Linked DNA regions of Xenopus tropicalis. The protein of the gene in region 3 interacts with the protein of the main gene of each other region in a pairwise test. Links are inferred from orthologs where the notes say so. Each region holds a gene or a part of one and is shown on either strand. Other genes may lie near its edges. The genes, in order: csnk1d, sdf4, snca, lamp2 and usp8.

Region 1 (4,092 bases), on a different chromosome or scaffold from region 3:
CTGTGGGGTCCATATTTAGGGTGTTTTATATGGTTACCTGTAGAAAATAAGATGCTGCAAAATGGAAGCTTTGGGGCTTGGTATTTTAGAATAGAAAGACCTATTTTGAATTCAGGTAAATGTGTACTTTCCAAAAACAAAGGGCAACCCACTCCGTTAAGAAGGGGGGTTTTTAGTTAAATATTTGGAGAGGTATTTTACAGTAAGAGCTGTGAAGTTGCGGAAATCCCTCCCTGAACCAGTAGTACTGGCTGATACATTATATAGCTTTTAGAAGGGGTTGGATGACTTTTTAGCAAGTGAGGGAATACAGGGTTATGGGAGATAGCTCTTAGTACTGGTTGATCCAGGGACTGGTCCGATTGCCATCTTGGAGTCAGGAAGGAATTTTTTCCCCTCTGAGGCAAATTAGAGAGGCTTCAGATGGGGTTTTTTGCCTTCCTCTGGATCAACTAGCAGTTAGGCAGGTTATATACTGTATAGGCATTATGGTTGAATGTGGTGGACGTATGTCTTTTTTCAACCTAACTTACTATGTTACTATGTTATAATGGCAATCAGTGAAAAAAAAAAAAAAAATTTAAATGAGTACATTAGAATGGCAAAAATGGGAAATTATTATAGGCAGGCAGAATCTATTTTTAACACAAGTTCTATTCATTATGCTAATTTTTAGCAAAGGTATACTTTCCCTTTAATATCTTTTATATAACAATGAAAAAGAAAGCAATTTTTAAAACTGGATATTTTCTTAAATTTTGTGCTCAGTGTACAACCAGTGATTAAGCGTTTGTTTTAAAATTAACATTAAGGGCAGTGACACACTGGGAGATAAGTCGCCGGGCGTCAAATCTTTGTTGTCGCAGGCAATTAATCTCCCCGCAATGCCATCCCACAGGCTAGAATGTAAATCGCCGGTGGGATGGCATACGCGGCACAGCGATTTGCCTAAGTCGCCCAAAGTTTCCTCTCAAGGCGACTTTGGCAAATTGCGGGGTCACGTATGCCTGCAACAACAGAGATTTGTAACTGATCAAAACCTCTCTTTTTTAATAACGTTTGCTGTTGTACTGACCCTTTTTTCTCTCTCAAGTTTGTATGTAAGAAAACCTAACCTAGACCATTAAATTAAATGACTGCGAAAATCGAGTTCATCAGCTGATCATGTGATTCCGTGACCCCCATTACGCTCCTCCTTCCCAGCGCCGCTAGTTTGTTGCTAGGTAGAGTGACGTCACGAGTTTCGGTGACAGCCTCTCTCAGGTTTGTTTGTTGGAATCGGCCTAAGTACTCGGTATAATCCGCCTAAATCCTACGTTTTAAGGCTTCCCGGGAGCGCGGAAGTGAAAGGAACACAGAGAGCGCTCTTTGATCTATCGTACCGGCACTATTTTATGCTCCCTAGTAGTGGATGGAAAACGTAAATTGATGGTGAAAAGTGCCCCGGGCTTTAGAGACTGATAGCTGGGGAAGGAGGAAAGGGCCTGCACGGCAGGATGGAGTTGAGAGTCGGAAACAGGTATCGGTTGGGTCGAAAGATCGGCAGCGGCTCATTCGGTGACATATATTTGGGTAAGAAGATAATTTATAAGTGTAGGACTGTTTAACATGAACCTTGGCTCTTTACCCCTTCCCCTTACGAAATGGTACAGTCTCTTCTGAGAGCTATGGGAGAGACTAAGCAATGGTACAGTCTCAGCTGAGAGCTATGGGAGAGACTAAGCAATGGTACAGTCTCAGCTGAGAGCTATGGGAGAGACTAAGCAATGCTACAGTCTCAGCTGAGAGCTATGGGAGAGACTAAGCTTGCCGCCCCACAATGTAAAGGCATACAGTAGAACAACGGGGTTTCTGCCAGCTGGGGTGTAATCCTGGCCCCAATATACTGTATTAGACCTGGGGGCTGTGGTAGGCAGCTGGCATATAGTCTGGGGGAGGAGAGGGGGGGGGGGGGGTTGATGGAAATGACACACTAAAATGGTACCTTTCTTTTTATAAGGATTTGTGTCTACTATGTGCAGGAAAGATGGTGGGTTAGAACCTTATGGGGTTATTAGACAGGCCCAGTAAGAGATTACATGTTTTACTCTAGTGTTTTGTCTTTACAATAGAGCTGATAGTGATATATTTAGTGGCAGAGTGTACTACCTCATTACTATGGAGATACAGTCCAGCCTTTCCCATCTCCAATTCTAGATCCTTGCATCTTACAATAAGATTCTTTTAAAGGGCATCTTCACCAGGCTGTTTTTAGGAGGGCTTTTAACTAAAGTACAGAGGAATATTGGAGACTGTATTTGCTTTCATTTAACCATAAGAGCATTAGTGGCACTGGTCTTGGTGTTCCCAGTCCCCCCACCATATCTAATTGGGTTGAGGTGCAGGCCAGTCAAGTTTCATCCTCATCTCAGGAAAAACATTTTTTATGGACCTCGCTTTGTGCACGGGGGTATTACATTGCTGTTACAGGACGAGGGCCTTAACCCACCAAGTAGGATGAATAGAATTGTTATTGTATGCTGTATAATTCAAGTTTGCTGTCACTGGAGCTGGGGCCCTACGCCAAACCATGAAAAACAGCCTTATGCTATACTTTACATATGCATGATATACATATAGACATGTAGTTTTTTCCTGGCATCATCCATACCCAGATTTGTCTGTCAGATTGCTATATTATAAAGTGCAATTCATCATTGCATACAATGGCACCAATGGCAGAGACCTTTATAGGCCTAGCACTGTGCATGATCATGTGTGTGGCTGCTTGTCCATAAAAACAACCCATTCTTCCGATTATAGACAAGCAGATTGGACTCGGCAATGAGTATTGCAAATTATACATATTCCTTGTGTATGGATTCAGCTGAATACTGAACTGAACATAGAAAAGGAAATTGCAGTAAATGAGGGAAAAAATGCTGATGTAGTGTGTGACCACTTTTTTTTCAATACATATGGTGTGGATCCGGTTTGGCCGAATCCTGCTAAAAATGTCTGGGATTCCAACTACCGATTCTGGTATTTGGTGCATGCCTGGTATTATAATCTGACATGTTTGTGTCCTTTTAAACCCATACGATTTCTTAAAATATAATTTTTGTGGGCAATGTAATTCCCGGCTTAAACCTTGATACTGTAGCCGAAACATTGGGTTTAGGCTCTGTCACTGGGAGTTCCCAGGGATTCTAGACGCCAAATGTGTTTTTCCTTCCTTAAAAGCCTTCCATCTACAAATGCAAATCAGTAAAATATTGAGATGTTTGTGGTATATATCAGGACTGGCTGGGGCTCTGCAGTTCATCAGGTCACCCAATGTGAACCTATCTACTGTAGCCCCCTAGGGAACTAGCTGCATCATATAAAGATAGTGTTGGGATTGGGCTGTTAAGAGCAGGCCAATAATAGAGAGAAATTATTTTGACATTTTGGTTAGAAAGGCTTCAGCAGTAGGCTGAACAATTCTGCAGCCCAGGGTAGTCTATAATATAGGTAGGTAATTGTTCTTCTAGAGACAAGTGGGTTTGTCTGTGGGGGAACCCATACATCATTTACATGTGTAGAACCCTGTATCGTTTAGCATTGTACTTCCCACTTCACCATATTGTGGTATATGACACGACAGGGCCTATTTATCATACTGTGTGAAGGCGAACAAATAAACCAGATGTCGCGTGTAAAAAATTATGTAATTTATCAAGTTGTGTATCGATTTTTAGTGACCGTGTAGCTCTGTATAATAATCCAAAAACCTAAGCACCCACTTGATATGGTAAAATATGTCTCTTTGGGGGGAGATTTTTTTTTTTGCCACAACAACTTCTGCAAGACCTTACTTGACGCTTACATTTTTCCCATTGACTGATAACACAAGGTGTGAAATAATGGAATCAATAATAATGGCGTAATTTGGCATGTCGTTCGGATGGAGTAAAATAAACCACACACCGTTTTTTTATCGTTTTACACATTATGGTAAATGGGGACCATTATGCACTTGGTTTATAATGTAAAGAGGATATTGTGTGTGTCTCTAAAAATGTCAAACTATCCCAGGACTGTAAATATATTTGTGTCCATATAACTACATGT
Region 2 (4,167 bases), on a different chromosome or scaffold from region 3:
TAATGACTCGCTCCTGCACCAAGAGTAAGATCCGTATACATGCACAGTTTGTAAGACTATGTGGAAGCTTCCTGCTGATTGGCTCAGATCCACATTCCTAATGGGGGGAGTGAGTTTTTAGCATTCTTGAGGGAGGGGAGAGCAGGAGAGAGCTGCATGTCTCTGGCAGAGGAAAATAGACACAAGAAATCTTTTGATAGAGGACTCAGTGCAGCGTTTCTGTGAGTGCTTATGGCTTTATTTACATAGACCTTTCTGATAAAGCTTACTTAGTTTTTACCTTTCTTTCTCCTTTAATGATCTACCATAATTTTCCTTTCTAGTTCAATTCCTTTGGACAGACATACAAAGCAGAAGCACTTGAGGGGAGACATAAAAGTTCTAAAATACTTTGCATATAGCATGACTGAAATCAAAAAGTGTCAGAAAAGTAAAAATTTAACAGAGCTTCATGGTATTGCCTTACTGGGGTCCAAAGTTCAATTCCAAGCAGAGCACTGTCTGCAAAGAGTTTGTATGTTTGCCCCATGCCTCCGTATTCAGATTTCCTCACTCCACAAACATACTAGGAGTATGTCAGTTCTTTTAGTCATTAATAATTAAACGGAGCAAGCACTTAGGCAATGTTTAGTCATTGTGGCTGAAACTTAATGTCTTTTGACTATGGTGACACTGACCCAAACCACTCGCCTTTGGCCACTCCAGCATCTGCACTAACAAGCACTGCGTTGGCCTGTGTGTAGACACATGGCACAGAAACATGTTTGCATTGAGATGGCAAAATCTGTTTGGTTTCTCTGCACCCAGGTTGGCAGGGTACCTGTTTGTCCAGACAGGGACCAGGATAGTAACACTGGCAATTTTTTTTTTAAAATAACTCCTCATTTTACTGAAGAATTTGAGAATTCAACACTATTTCACTAAGAAAACTATACTTCCAGACTATAAAGTTGTGGCTACACCACCCCTAGTGCGTAGACTTCATTATTTCCCATAATACTTGCAATGAAATGACTTCTGCCTTAGATATCATAAAAACTGGTTATTTAAAAAAGCTTTTTGACTATGGAAAAAACAATTTTAAAAAAATATGAATGGTAAGAAATATTACCCAGCAAAAATGATCTTACAATTTCTATAAGTTATGAAACTATAAAACATTTATTTGCAAAAGCTTACTGGAACTGTACACCTAAAGGAAGCAAGTTAGCTTAAGTTCACCACAAAAATCTCACATCTTAAAAATGCCCTGTCATCTTACTGAATATTGTAAAAGGTAGTGCGTGTAACCTCAACTGTACATTTATACCCAAGCTTTGTTACTTTGTAGAAGATGGTTTTAAAGGACTGCTATATCAAGTTTTTTTAATAAAAAATCCATACTTTGTTGGAAGCATTCTATCCAATAAGGGAGCACAGACATTTCTTTTATGGAAGAATTTTATCAGTGAATTTACTTGAGAATTATTATGCTGGGATAGTAAATCACTTTAATAACTCAAAAGAAGCAAAGGTGGATGTCCCCTAACTGAAGAAGAATTTTCTCACATGTCTTCATTAAAGGGATACGGTCATGATTTTTATGGTGTATTTTTTATTTCTAAAGGACACTGTTTATATAGCAAATAATTCACTTTTTATGCAGGATTCTGTTGGAGAAGCTCTATTAACTGATAGGTCTTTTTAAAAAAAAAAAAAAAAAATGTTTTCCCATGACAGTATTCCTTTAACTCAATAAACGCAAGTGAGAAACTGTAATTCAAATTTCTGAAAGAGATGAAATTTAAAAATATGCCTATAATTTTGACAATTTTTTCCTTAGTCTGCAAATTTTAAAAATGCACCTTCAGTACAGTTAATATTTTTAAAAAGAAAGATCAATAGCCATAAAGATTGCCATGTTTTTTCCAGGGTTCACCCTACATCACATATTATTAACAAACAACATGCTGTACTGCTAAACTGACCAAACACTACTTTGTTTGAGATTTAAGGCTAAATGATGCACATCTGATCCCCACTTTCTGATCAGATGTGCTTTCATCCTCACTTTCCGATAAGATGATGCCCAATAAAACTTAGTATAAACTGAAATCACCTTCTATCCCCAACAGCATAAAAGTTCCTGCAAAATTCCTGCGCCAAATAAAGTTTTTCATTCTGTAAAGTCACATGCTCCTATAAGGCCCTATGTAATTGCAACACCTCATTACTTATATAGTACTTTACAGCAATCAAGGTAACCATGATAAGGGGTACTAAGGATATTTAGTAACTTTTCAAGTTGGCATAGGAAATCAAACCAGGATCTCTATCATGAGAATGGGAATAACATTCAACAACGTTTGTAGAAAAAAGATGGTAAAGAAAGGCTTAAGATCGATGTTAATTTATTCCTGAAAGAATTGAGGGTGAGAAATGGTTGACTTACTTGGCAAAAATAGCTGCCAGTTTCCTTCTGTTCCTTCGGGGTTCAGAATCTTCATCAAATTCTTCTATTTCTTTACCGAGGAAAACCTCTTGGTGGAACTCCTTGTTGAGGTGACCATCCATTTCCATCTTTACTCCATTCAGATGGTCCGGGGGCATAATTTCATTTTCATCTTTATTGTCTGTGGCCTTTTCTTTTCCTTCTACCTTGAGAGCAGAATTGTTTGCAGGCCTGGCATAAACATCCATAAGGAGAAACACAAAGAGGAGGGAGAGGTAGAGCGAACCAAGGCTGAAGAGGAAAGCCTGCTTGGATACCATTTTTCTGCTTAGAGCTTAAACAGAGACCACACAGTGCAGCTTTTAGTGTTCTTTATATCCTGGGAAAAAACAAAATGTAGTGAATTTAGCTTACAACGCAGCTACTTATAGCAAAGAAAATGCAATTAATATGCAGGTCCAGGCAAAAATCTACAAAACTCTTGTGGAATGTCTCAACCCAGCCAGATAATACTGCTGACAACTAATCATGAGTAGGAGTTACAGGAATTGCATTAACCCAGGTGAAAAAGACATTCTTTGGTCGTACATTCTTTTAATCTGTGAAATCATAAAAAAAATCAATGTACATAACAGCAATATCACAATTTATACAAAAATATGAACCCTATGATATGCACCATATGTGGGGAAAAAAATGTAAACGCTACTTGTCTTATACTGGCAGAAAACACACAAACTACTTAATTTACATAGAACCATCCATGTCCTGGTTGTGTTTCTCTCAAAACCAGTAAATCCACTCAGACTTGTAGTACGTATATACATTTGTATCCGTGTGTTAAAAATATCCATATCTTATTTTCTAGACTTGTCAGACTTTTAGAGCTCAAGATTTTACCATTCGCAATCAAAAAACAGGTTTAACAGTCACCCTAGCATGGATAAAGGACATTCCAAAAGACAGATATAAGCATTTACCCCAAATTACACCCTAAGCAGATTTAGGCTTCTACCCCTATCTATTTCTCTGTGTGTACCATGGGAGCAGCTCCAGATTTTCAAAACAGCTCTAGGGTCTATGCCACACAGCTGAATTAGAATCTGTTTCTTGTATATGGCTAGAATTATGACATGTCACTACAGAATAGCATCCATTATTTCCTATATGTAACAGCCTTAAGTGAACAGTAAAAAAAAGCATAAATGCTTAAAAAGCATGGTACTACTTTCAAGGACTTAACATAGATAGAAGGATCATAACAAATCAAAATAATATAACTGGGTATAATATAATTTATTATAATATAACCAGTCATACATAATCATTTGTTATGAATCATTTGCATGAAAGTCCAACAGACATACCAAGGGGTTTTAGTGGGTAGGGAGAAGTAAACCATAATAATAAATATTCTACTAAAAAGTCAAATCATAATGCTTTGAGAGTTCCTCTGTACCATATAACTTTTTTTTAGTATCTAAACCAGTGATCCCCAACCAGTGGCTCATGAGTAACATGTTGCTCCCCAACCCCTGGGATATTGCTCTCAGTGCCCCCAAACCAGGTAGTTATTTTTGAATTCCTGACTTGGTGGCAAGTTTTGGTTGAATAAAAACAAGATTTCCTACCAAATAAAGCCCCCTGTAAGCTGATAGTGTGTATAGAGGCTCCCTAATAGCCAATCTTAGCCCTTATTTGGCTCCTCCATGAACTTTTATGGTGCTTGTGTTGCT
Region 3 (3,515 bases):
TCTCTGTTAAAGTTCGGCTTTTCACTCTACTGCGCATGCATGTGAGCGAACAGGAAGGAGGAAGCGATCGCTGCTACCCCGGGCTGGTGCTGTTCTCTCCGAACAGGGGCACCAGTCCGGGGTAAAAGGTAGGTGATTTAAGTCACTTGGGGGTGCCTAACATTTTGGCACCCCCAAGTGACTTTGCCTTTCCTTCTCCTTTAATGTACATTAAGATTTTTTTGTGATTTTTTAGTGTCAGTATCACTTTAAGGAACAGGGTTCCAAATTACAATTTTAGAAAACCAAAAGGCCCCAAAGATTTCAGTTAACAGATCTCATATGAGCACCAAAGACACACATACTATTCTCTGTCAACACTAGAATAGTTTTGTTTAATTTAAAGTCTTTTGCTCGTCTACATTGCTTCTATAGTAGGCTTATCATTTTGGGTTTTTCTTCTAGAATGCAGTACAGGATATTTTATTGGCCACCACACTCTCCTTTGGCTCTACAGACTACATTGTATGACAACATTATGGCCTTCCAACATTCCGTATAAGTAATAGCAGACCTAAATCAACAAGTGTGAGCCAATTGCATGTGTAGGTACAACTCACAAAGTATTAATTGGAAAAAAACCTTCTTCTTTAGGCATGTGATAATAATTCCTGTGCTCTGAACCTTGTACAGGTATGGGATCCCTTATCCAGAAACTCATTATCCAGAAAGCTCAGAATTACAGAAAGCCCATCTCCCATAGACTCCATTTTAATCAAATAATATAGAATTTTAAAACTGATTTCCTTTTTCTCTGTAGTAATAAAACAGTACCTTGTAACTGATCCCAGCTAAGATATAAATAATCCTTATTGGATGCAAAACAATCCTATGGGGTTTAATTAATGTTTTATTGATTTTTTAATAGACTTAAGGTATGGTATCCCGAGCATTCTGGATAATGGGTCCTATACCTGTACCTTATTCAGTGAAGTAGGTTCAACTGTGTATAGATGTAATACCTCCATCAGTTGTGTTTCAGTGTTTCAATTATTTTGCACTTTACATAGGTCAAGCTGCCCATACATGCACAGAAACGAGGTTTCGTACAATATATGGTGCCTGTATAGTGTATTGACCAGGCGACTAATATGGCAAAAGCCTTGGATATCAGTCACCTCATCAATCGGTTGGGCGGAACAGAAGATTTTGATCAGGCACGGTTGAAGGCATCCAACCAAAGGCATGCTTTTAGGGCTGAATCGTCTAATGGGGTAGAATTCCTACTCTTTCTACCACCATATCTGATGATTCAGCTCTGAACGTTAGTGGAGGGTACAAACAATCTTTCTTAAAGATCGTACTTGTAACGTGTATGGCCACCTTAAGTCTGCATAAGTCTGACTACCACTAAACTATGTGATGTCAGAGATTTCCAGATTAGGCATGATATAGTAGCACATAGAAAAGACTGATGAACTCATAAATAAATAGATATTTTTAGTTTTAAGTTTAGTTTAGTTTCCCAGCTTGAAATTGTAAAGGCAACATATAAGAGTGTAGCAACCCATACCCTCAGACAAAGGAACAATCTAAGTACATGATTCTAGTGCTTGCAGATCATACATAAAATCACCATCTAAGGTTATCAGATTTATCTCAAAATTCTAGTAAAAAAGCTTCTACAGAATCTACTCTTAAAAGGCTTAAAATGGAACATGATGAATTTAACATATTTGATTAATCAGATCCCTGTGATTCTTTTCACATCTCATGCATTTGTAATATTTTACATACTTACATCTGAATTCATTAACACAATTAGTATCACTTCCTTGTGTCAGCACAGTAATCCATAGAAACCACTCAGAATTTAGCTTTATTCAGTCAACTGCAAGTCCATGAAAAAGTCTCTTTGGTTGCTATGGATAACTGTGCTTAAGCTAATTTGCCCCTATAATGGTAAAGAAGCCAACTGAGTTAATCCATTAGTTAGTAAATATATAAATTTTGCAATTAAACACAGATGTGAATTAATATCAATCACCATACAGTATATTGATTTTAGCAAAAACATTTTGATAAGTATGCTTCATTGAGCATGTATATTTTTATCTGATACAGACACTCAGACCAATCAATTGCAATACTACAGCATTAAAAAGTATTATGTGTTGAGTTTTTTAAATGATCATTTATACTTATTAAAATGTATTTAATTATAATAATTTTATTTTATTTTTTAATGACTAATTAACATTTATCTCTGATTCAATCACTGTATTTGCTGATTCCCTAATTTTTTCAGTAGTGATGAGCGAATCCGGTTTTGTTTGATTGTTGCAAATCTTTTAAAAGATTCACGAAATGGCAAAAATGTCGCGCTCAAAAACAATTTGTTGCGCGCATCATTTTTTGATGCGTGTTTTTGACACACATCACTTTTTATGTGCGCCGAATTTTCCCGGGCCGAATTTTGACGCTCGTTTCACTAAACAATCCACCAAAGGCGAAATTCCCCATGAATCCATGCCAGGCAAACTATTTTGCCCATCACAAGTGTTCAGTTTATATTTTGCTCTGTTTTACTTAGCAATAAGAAAGGAAAAAGAATAGCCTAATAGCTGCTGCACATATTCCTTCGAAGTTTGTATTGACCTAAAAAGGCTAATGCTTGGATCGTTCATACGAAAGTTTCGAGTTTTATTACATATGGGAACTTAAGTCTTTCAAAGACTACATAATATATAATAAATTTAAAAAAGCATTTACCTTTTGATCCTTCTTTACCAGTCCTGTTGCTGCAGCAATATTTCCGGCTCCTTCAACTGTCTTTTGTGCAACTGCAGTTACTCCTGTGACTACTGCTCCACCAACATTAGACACCTGCTCTTTGGTCTTTTCAGCAACTGATGTACAATAAACAAACAAAATTCAATGCTCATGCTCTATAAGATGTTTGGTTCATAAAAATGAAATATGGAAAAAAGCAAATAATTAGGCAATAGTATTCTGTGCCCACATTTATGTTTCTTTTAGCAATGCAGAATACCCCCAAACAATGTAGGTCTCTATAAAAATAAAATGCATAAACAAGCTCATATGTAAAACCCTGCTTCACCCAAATAAACCATAAAAATATACTTTTGTAGTAGTATGTGCTATTAGGTACTCCTAATTAGAAAATTGCCATTTTAAGAATTAAGGGCCACCTCCTAGGATCATAGGATTCACAAACAAGCAGGACCGGATTTGTGGCGAGGCTACAAAGGCCTGGCCTAGGGCAGCAACAATTTAGGGGTACGCCCGCCACACTGAAATTCTGAAATTTGCTCCCATATTGACCAATAGGGACCTCTCCCCACTGCTCCGCATGTCACAAAATGGTGGCTCAAGGGAAAGGATGGAAAAGGGCAATATTTGCTGATATATATATTCCAGTTTGGCAAGATTTTTTAATTGATCACTTAACATAATATAAACTATCTGTTGGTTATGTTTTCATTCTGGGGGTATAGTTTTCCTTTAACCAAAAA
Region 4 (4,177 bases), on a different chromosome or scaffold from region 3:
TAGGGAAGGCAGAGTATGGCACACACAGGCAGAGTATGGCACACACAGGCCAAGTATGGCACAAACCAGCCAAGAATGGCAAACACAGTGAAAGTATGGCACACGCAGGCAGGGTAGGGAAGGCAGAGTATGGCACACACAGGCCAAGTATGGCACAAACCAGCCAAGAATGGCAAACACAGGGAAAGTATGGCACACAGGCAGGGTAGGGAAGGCAGAGTATGGCACACACAGGCAGGGCAGGGAAGGCAGAGTATGGCACACACAGGCAGGGTAGGGCAGGCAGAGTATGGCAGGTTTTTGCTGTACTACAACCATTAATATGGGTATGGTCATGTGATAACATGGGTGTGGTTTCAAGTGGGTGTGGTTTCAAAAATGGGAGTGGTCAAAACTGGCTTCCATTATCGGCCCTCCACCACGTAGGTCGGAAAAATTGCGGCCCTCGGTACAACAGAAGTTGGACAGCACTGCTCTAGCAGTTCCTATGATTATGACAGGGATGTGACAAAAGGCTACAATACTTAGCAGGATGGCCTCTCCCAAGAGAAAACCAGGTCACTCAAAACTCAGGAAAGCACTTAAAACAAGTCCACTTTAATATTCACGGCTGCGGCTGAATGTAATGTTCTCTGTGCATATCATACGATCTCTATCAAGAGATCACCCCTATGCATCAGGTTACTCAGAGACAAGCATAGGTTACATCCAGCCAGGATATTATTAGACCACCTTTTGGATGGAACGTCCTTACAGCGACCTTGGCAGCTGCCTATGAGAGGGCATCGCTGGCGGGCACAACAGCTTATGCTGTGCCATTTATCTACATTTAAATGAAATTGTTGAAATGTATTTATTATTGTTCCCTAAATATCCTGCACATGAGTATTTGGTGGTTTGGTCTCAGTGGCACACCTGGGATGCATATAAAGCATGCTGGAAGCGCTAAAGGTTTAAGTGCCTAGCTGAGAAAGGGTTAAACAGAGCCAATATGCTAACCTTCAATTGGTTTATGTGGCTGCCGTCCCATTAGCTGCTATGGGTCATGAAAAGTGAAAGCATTGAGCTGAAGATCCATATTGTTTAACAGCACTGTATGAATCAAGCCTGGGCAAGGAACGCATGTGCTTCACGCATTACTCTCCCTTTGCAGGATTCCCTTCTCCTTATAATGAGGTGGGAAAATTAAAGGTAAAATCTCGCCTGTATGCGCACATCCCCAGGTAATATCCCTAAAAAAAAGCTCTGTGATTGGATGGATTAAATGTCCATTGCCCAGATTAAAGATTTCATTGCCATTATGCAATCAAGAGATGTCAGTGACAATAGGAACCATAGCCCAACAATTCATTCCAAATTAAAGGGCAAACTTGTTTCCCCCCCTAACTTGAAAGGACTAAAAATTCCCTGCTCAACACTTTAGCTCAGAAAGATGAGTTTGCATGGAAGTGGGAGCAGCCACATTGCTGCCACTGAAGAGATGAATAAGGATTATCCATAGGTATAAATGCAAGAGCAAACTCTGGGGTCAGATAAAAAAAGATGATGGTGTTAAATTATATAAGTTTACACACACACACACACACACACACATGTATATGTATATGTGTGTGTGTATATACTATTTTATATATACATATATATGCTCTCACATATGAGCCTTAGTCCCTAGAAAGAAGGCATGTGTCCCTAAAGAAAGGCAGAACACAGAATTAACATGACAACAATTATATCATACTATTAAGGATGTAGAACTCTGCAACATCACTCTGGGTGTTGCTAAACTACAATGTTGAGCCCTAATCTGTAGATGGGATCCTGATAGAGGTGCTTTACCTTCCTGCAGCTCCTCAGGTTTCCCATGCCAGAAGTTACATCATATTCACCATACAACATGGCTGCTAAAAGACAGATCTACGGAGTGTGATTGTACACTGGGGATCAGTAAGCAAGCCGGTCACTGGCAAGGCCATTAGATCATCCTCCTGGGTACTTCCCATTATTCATATTACCCAACTATCCCCCTGGCAGTAGCTGGAAAGGTGCAAGGGAACTACCCTTCCTTTGTTGAGTTTCCTATACAGCGCAGATTTCTTGCCAGTTGGTTCATTGATGCGCTCCTTTTGTGGCCCCTGATCTGATGAGGAAATCGAACCTGCCCACTCAACACCTTGACGTACAGATATCGATCAGGGATGCCCGTCGGCGGGCCCCATACAGGGGCAGATAAGCTGCTGAATCTGCCTGCGCCACTTTAAGATTATAAAGCAATTACTGGATCCAACATGGTGGCCTGGAACTCTTCACTAAAGTACTACCCCTACATTTTTGGGTGAGCTATCCCTGCTTGCTGTGCCAGGCTAAAGGGACTTCCGGTTGCTGTACTCAGCAGGCCAGTTGTTTGTAGGCAGGTATGTAGCTGTGAGTGTAACCTTGGCCTCCCCAGTTGGTCAGGGAGCAGCAGCCCAGTAGCTGTGCAACAGCAGGAAGCAGCAGGTTGGACGCATACATTTGCGCCTAGTTATACAGTAACTGCTCATACATGTATACAATTAAAAAAAAAATGATTTTACGCTTGTCCCTGAGCCACTCCTAACCCACCCCCACAAACAGCCCCTTAAGCACAAAAGCCTCTGTGTGCGGCTCTTTAGCCCAAACCCCCCCCCCCCCCCCCGTCCTCTCCCCGTTGCCCCCCACTCACCTAGGCTTAGTAGCAACAAGGCTGCAGGACACGCACAGCGCTCCATGGCTCCAAGTGGCCCCAACAAAACCCGTACACGGTGCTACCAGCTGGAATACTGACTGCAGAAAGAACACACCACAGTCACATGACAGATCATCACCTCGCTAACCAATCAGAAAACAAAAAAAGCTTCCATTGTCCTTGTGGTTCACGTTTCAGAAAGCTGTAAATGGAAGAGCGGGCGGGCGGCCGGATTTAGATTGAGATTCTGTGCCCTCGGCACTTACACCACTGTTACATCTCTTAACATTTCGCTGAATGTAACAACAGTGATACAAGACAATTCTTAGTACAGGTTATACAGTAAGTAACATTAGGCATAAGATGAGGAAATCTTCATAGATTATTGTTTAGGAGAGAAGTATTTGTATTTTTTATTTGTATGCACATTTAGCACTTGGTTTAAATTACTCTTTTGTACTTGTTATAGTAGAATAACTGAACTTGCCCCAGAGGGGCAACAAGCATTGACTGGTTGATTTTTAATTGTTGGGAGGGGTAAGTGGCTTTAAATATTGTGTATGTATTTAGAGTTCCTTACTGCCTATGTGCCATTCAGGCAGAAAAAAAGCCCCATAGACTCTGGGTTTTGTGTATGTTGAATCATGTTATAATAAAGGCTGTTGGCATTTTTAACATTGGAGAGCAAAATTAATCTCTATACAGGGCCCCCTAATCCCATTTTTATTCTGACCCATTTGTTATAAATTACCATAAAGTGCTGTGTAATTTGCTGTATTGTGAAGTCGGATCAGATAACATTGGATGGTTGGTTTTGTTTCTACAACTACATCTGACAGTCGATGTATTTCAATGACTAAAGATTTTATCTCGTCGGATAAAGAGGCAGCAATCCCTTTGGATGGCAATTCTTTCATGTAGGCAACACATCAGATTTTTGTATCAGTTCCATTATATTAACCCATGCAACTACATCTGAATTGTAGGATGTGTTTTGTCAATCTGACACCTTCCTACAAAATCTCCCGTGGAGTTTAGCCCTTAAAAAATCATAATAATTCTGCCATACCCTAACACTGGCCCTGTATAACTAAAATATCCCTGCTTGGCCTTGCACAGCCAAAAGCTTGCACTAGAAGGCCATTTAGTTGCAGATTGAAGGAGGGAGGCGACATGAAACATAATATTAAGCTGAAATACAGTAAATGCTGAGTCAAAGGTGCTGTTTTGAGGTACAGAGAGAAAATCCCACTATGTAACATACTCAACTTTTGCATTCATTCATCATGTGGGATTCCTAGAAAATTGATCTTTGTTTTTCTACATCCTCACACATAATGCAGCATTCTCCAATATGTAGTTTAAATATCATTATATCTATCTATCATCATCTACCCCTATCAATCTATCCTTTTATCTATCTATCATCTATCTATCCCTATCAATATATCCTTTTACCTATCTATCTATCTA
Region 5 (3,515 bases), on a different chromosome or scaffold from region 3:
ATGTAGGCCTTTCCTTCACATTGTTGGATTTTATATTACTATTGTGCTTTGTCAGTGGACCAGAATCCAGGCAAATGATGTAGCATGTAAAAATAAGTACCTCTAAGGGGAAAATTAATCCTCTTATTCCTATACCACTAATTGGTAACTACTGCTGGTATACTACTAAAGAGCATAAATGAAAAGCTGAGATCAGCACTATTATACATTACACTGAAAATCCATTTTAAAATAATTAATTTACACACACATATATAGCACAGATAAACCTACTTGTGGAATAACTTTCACAGTTTTCTGTGGCTGACAGACTTTAACAGAATCTGGAGTCTGAGCATCTGGTACAGGGTCATCCTTTTGTACTACATGGACAGGTTCCTCTGTTTTTTGAGTTTTCACTGCATTTATAGTATCCTCATAGCTGCTTTCTTTGATGCATACAGGGGGTGGTGGTGGTGGTGGAAGTGCTGGTTCTTCTAGAGATGGATAACTGAAGTCCACTAAAAGAGGGGAAAAAAGCATTATCTGCATGCACATTTCATGGATTTTATTAGAACAGCATATAACTGTATTGCGGTACACAGGCATCTCTCTGCAGAAATTCTTAGCAAATCTAATTTAAGGCCTGTCTCATATGATAACTGCGACAACCTTTCCCATTTGTGTGAGGCAACATGTAAATGCTAGCTGTCTGTCTTATTGCTTAAGAAAAAGACCAGAGACAAAACACAGAATGCTATGCATAATTCCAGAAATTCACTAGTTATGGGAAGCAAACTATTATATAAACAATGATTATAACACTAAAATATGTAGATCTCTGTTTCAATACATATAATTCCGGATTGTTTCTGGAAACAATTTCCTCTTGGTTTTTTTTTTGGTTTGTCATTTTAGGTATCTTGGTCAAAGACCTCCTTTTCTAGCTTCACAAGTTCTAGGCCCCAAGTTATAAAGAAAAGCTTACATGGGGAACTTAACAGGAAGGATGCTCTGCTCCAGTTCTGCTATAAAAAGCTAAAATTAACTTGCCCAGTGACTTGCACAGATTGCTCCACAATAAGGTACAAGAAACTGTTCAAAACCAAACTCACTGCAGCAGTTCACATGCCAAATAAGAGAAATAGGGGACAGGGTGGACTACCTGGAACAGTGCAGACTTTCAAGCAGTGGCTTCAAAAGAGGATTAAAAACAATTGGCCCTACATCAGGCCCAAATTTTGCAACTTGAAAATTACATAGAAGATCTGGAAAACAGATAAAGGAGGGGCAACTTGAGGGTAAGGGTGGCCCCTGAAATGGTTACCGACCTATATCGCTTGATGAATGAGGTATTGCACCAAACTTCTACCAGACCTACCAGAAGACCACCTCCATATTCAAAGAATTCGTCGCGCCCTGGGACACCCCTGAAACACCAACCTCCCCAGAGGTATCATACTAAAGCTGCACTATGTAGAGGTCTTGGACTATGCTCTACAAGCTGCATGTACTGTTGATAAGCCATACGAAATGCGGATATATGCCGATATTGCGCCAACAACTCTACAATAGAGAAGATTTCACCATTTACCTCACATCGCCCATATCCTGCATGGACAACTGTTACAACCACAAAACAATTAATGCTACTACCTTCCACCAAAGACCAACTCCAGGTAACTTGGGAAAGGGATTTTTCTGCCCCACATCTCAAGGTCAATCTAAATTATCTCACATAATGTACAAGACCTCAACTCCCCAACCAAAGAAAGGCAGAATTTGAGATGTACCAACGCTGCACCCCTGACAATCTTCAAAAAAAAAGTTTTCAGTATAATTTGCCCTTTACCCTAAACGCGGCATGGTATATACATTAGATGTTAGATGTAATATCTAACAGAGATTATATTTAAAAGAGGAAGGAAAGATAAAATTATAATCATTTGAATGATACCCCAGACTGCTGCTACTTTCAGAAGAAAACTGCCCCAGTACTTCTGATCAAACACCATGAAGTGATCCTCTTCCCTTATCTTCTCATAGGGTGCACATACAAAGTAGAGTGAAAAGCCAAAATTTTGCACTTTTGCAGCTACTACACAAGTATCAGTCCAGGGCCACTGGAGAATGGAGAAGGAGAAGAAGAGGATTGCTCAATGGTGCTCACTTAGAAGTACCCTGGGACAGTGCGGTATTCTGCTAACAGGAGCATGTCTAAAAAATCCATAACATAATACAACAATCTGACGCATTTACTGGTCAACTTACATGACAAAGACACAGATTCTTGTGTTCTTTTCCTGGGCACAGTCACTTTCCCATTTGTTGTGAACATGGGATAACAAAGAAGCCAATTTTCATAACCACCTTCCAAAACTAAAGGTTCACTCCGTAGGATTGTTTTTGTTTCCCACTGTACAAAAAAATAGAAACAAAGATCATAAGTGAAAATGGCCAAAAAATCCACATGCAAATACATTTGTTTGCACTGCTATGTATTCTCTACTTGCTAAGAATAGTCTGTAATACTATGGTCATGCATATATTCTGTCATGTGTGCGACTGTGATAGGGACCTTAGCTTGTAAACTCCACAGAAGCAGGGATTGATGAGAATGATGAATAATCTCTGTAAATGCATTGGTGCTATAGAATAACCGATATATAAAAAAAAAATAAAAGTTTGAAAATGATGCATCTGCTTGTGTGTACTCAACTGAAGAAAAATCAGTGATGGGGATGCACCAAACACATAATTTTTTCATTTGTTTGAATACCAAATACTTCCCAAAATATTTAGCTGAATTCTAAATGGGATCCTTAATCTAATTTGCTTTCAGAATTCTGCACTTCAGAAAAAAAATAAATGACATCAATTGTGAACAAAACTTTATAGTGTTCAATTTTTTACAGCTTCAAAAATTAACGTCACTTTAATTTAGTTGAATCCTTGAACTACTGCATCCATAATGAAAACTAGTTGGTGTTTAATTAACCGATTTAAATAACTGGGCGATTTGTTTAGATTAAGTGTGAAGACATTTTTGCATTGCCATAATATTAAGGAGACAAGATACATCCATGTTCAATTGAACCCCATAAGCAGGTCTTTTACTGTGTTCTGCATATTGTCGTCATTTATAACAAAAAATTGTAAATGGTTTAATGTATTAAACCTATGGAGAATAGTTTAACTGTTGTACTAGCTGTTTTCTCTTTGGTTGTACTGCAGCATGCTATATATGCTACAGTAAGGGGCCCATTTACTTACTCACGAACGGGCCGAATGCGTCCGATTGCGTTTTTTTCGTAATGATCGGTATTTTGCGATTTTTTCGTTACCAATACGATTTTTGCGGAAAAACGCGAGTTTTTCGTAGCCATTCCGAAAGCTGCGATTTTTTCGTAGCGTTAAAACTTGCGCAAAAAGTTGCGATTTTTTCATAGTGTTAAAACTTGCGCAAAACGTCGTGCCTTTTAAGTTTTAACGCTACGAAAAAAGCGCAACTTTTCGCGCAAGTTTTAACGCTACGA

Evidence for each region.
Region 1: the proteins of snca (region 3) and csnk1d interact in binary tests that used the Homo sapiens proteins (3 or more experiments, as listed by UniProt). The link is inferred for Xenopus tropicalis from reciprocal best matches to the Homo sapiens genes SNCA and CSNK1D.
Region 2: the proteins of snca (region 3) and sdf4 interact in a two-hybrid assay, tested with the Homo sapiens proteins (2 studies listed by BioGRID and IntAct). The link is inferred for Xenopus tropicalis from reciprocal best matches to the Homo sapiens genes SNCA and SDF4.
Region 4: the proteins of snca (region 3) and lamp2 interact in binary tests that used the Homo sapiens proteins (3 or more experiments, as listed by UniProt). The link is inferred for Xenopus tropicalis from reciprocal best matches to the Homo sapiens genes SNCA and LAMP2.
Region 5: the proteins of snca (region 3) and usp8 interact in a two-hybrid assay, tested with the Homo sapiens proteins (2 studies listed by BioGRID, with this or other methods). The link is inferred for Xenopus tropicalis from reciprocal best matches to the Homo sapiens genes SNCA and USP8.

The regions. Positions count from the first base shown.
Region 1 is NC_030686.2:23,251,938-23,256,029, reverse strand, and holds the start of csnk1d (casein kinase I), read left to right. Parts: upstream 1-1,277; 5' UTR 1,278-1,496; coding exon 1,497-1,572; intron 1,573-4,092. UniProt on the Homo sapiens protein: Essential serine/threonine-protein kinase that regulates diverse cellular growth and survival processes including Wnt signaling, DNA repair and circadian rhythms. It can phosphorylate a large number of proteins.
Region 2 is NC_030683.2:93,660,509-93,664,675, reverse strand, and holds the start of sdf4 (45 kDa calcium-binding protein precursor), read right to left. Parts: upstream 2,805-4,167; 5' UTR 2,752-2,804; coding exon 2,432-2,751; intron 1-2,431. UniProt on the Homo sapiens protein: May regulate calcium-dependent activities in the endoplasmic reticulum lumen or post-ER compartment. Isoform 5 may be involved in the exocytosis of zymogens by pancreatic acini.
Region 3 is NC_030677.2:78,449,869-78,453,383, reverse strand, and holds part of snca (alpha-synuclein), read right to left. Parts: intron 2,889-3,515; coding exon 2,752-2,888; intron 1-2,751. UniProt on the Homo sapiens protein: Neuronal protein that plays several roles in synaptic activity such as regulation of synaptic vesicle trafficking and subsequent neurotransmitter release.
Region 4 is NC_030684.2:46,049,611-46,053,787, forward strand, and holds the start of lamp2 (lysosome-associated membrane glycoprotein 2 precursor), read right to left. Parts: upstream 2,802-4,177; 5' UTR 2,748-2,801; coding exon 2,702-2,747; intron 1-2,701. UniProt on the Homo sapiens protein: Lysosomal membrane glycoprotein which plays an important role in lysosome biogenesis, lysosomal pH regulation and autophagy.
Region 5 is NC_030679.2:104,931,708-104,935,222, forward strand, and holds part of usp8 (ubiquitin carboxyl-terminal hydrolase 8), read right to left. Parts: intron 2,396-3,515; coding exon 2,251-2,395; intron 501-2,250; coding exon 274-500; intron 1-273. UniProt on the Homo sapiens protein: Hydrolase that can remove conjugated ubiquitin from proteins and therefore plays an important regulatory role at the level of protein turnover by preventing degradation. Converts both 'Lys-48' an 'Lys-63'-linked ubiquitin chains.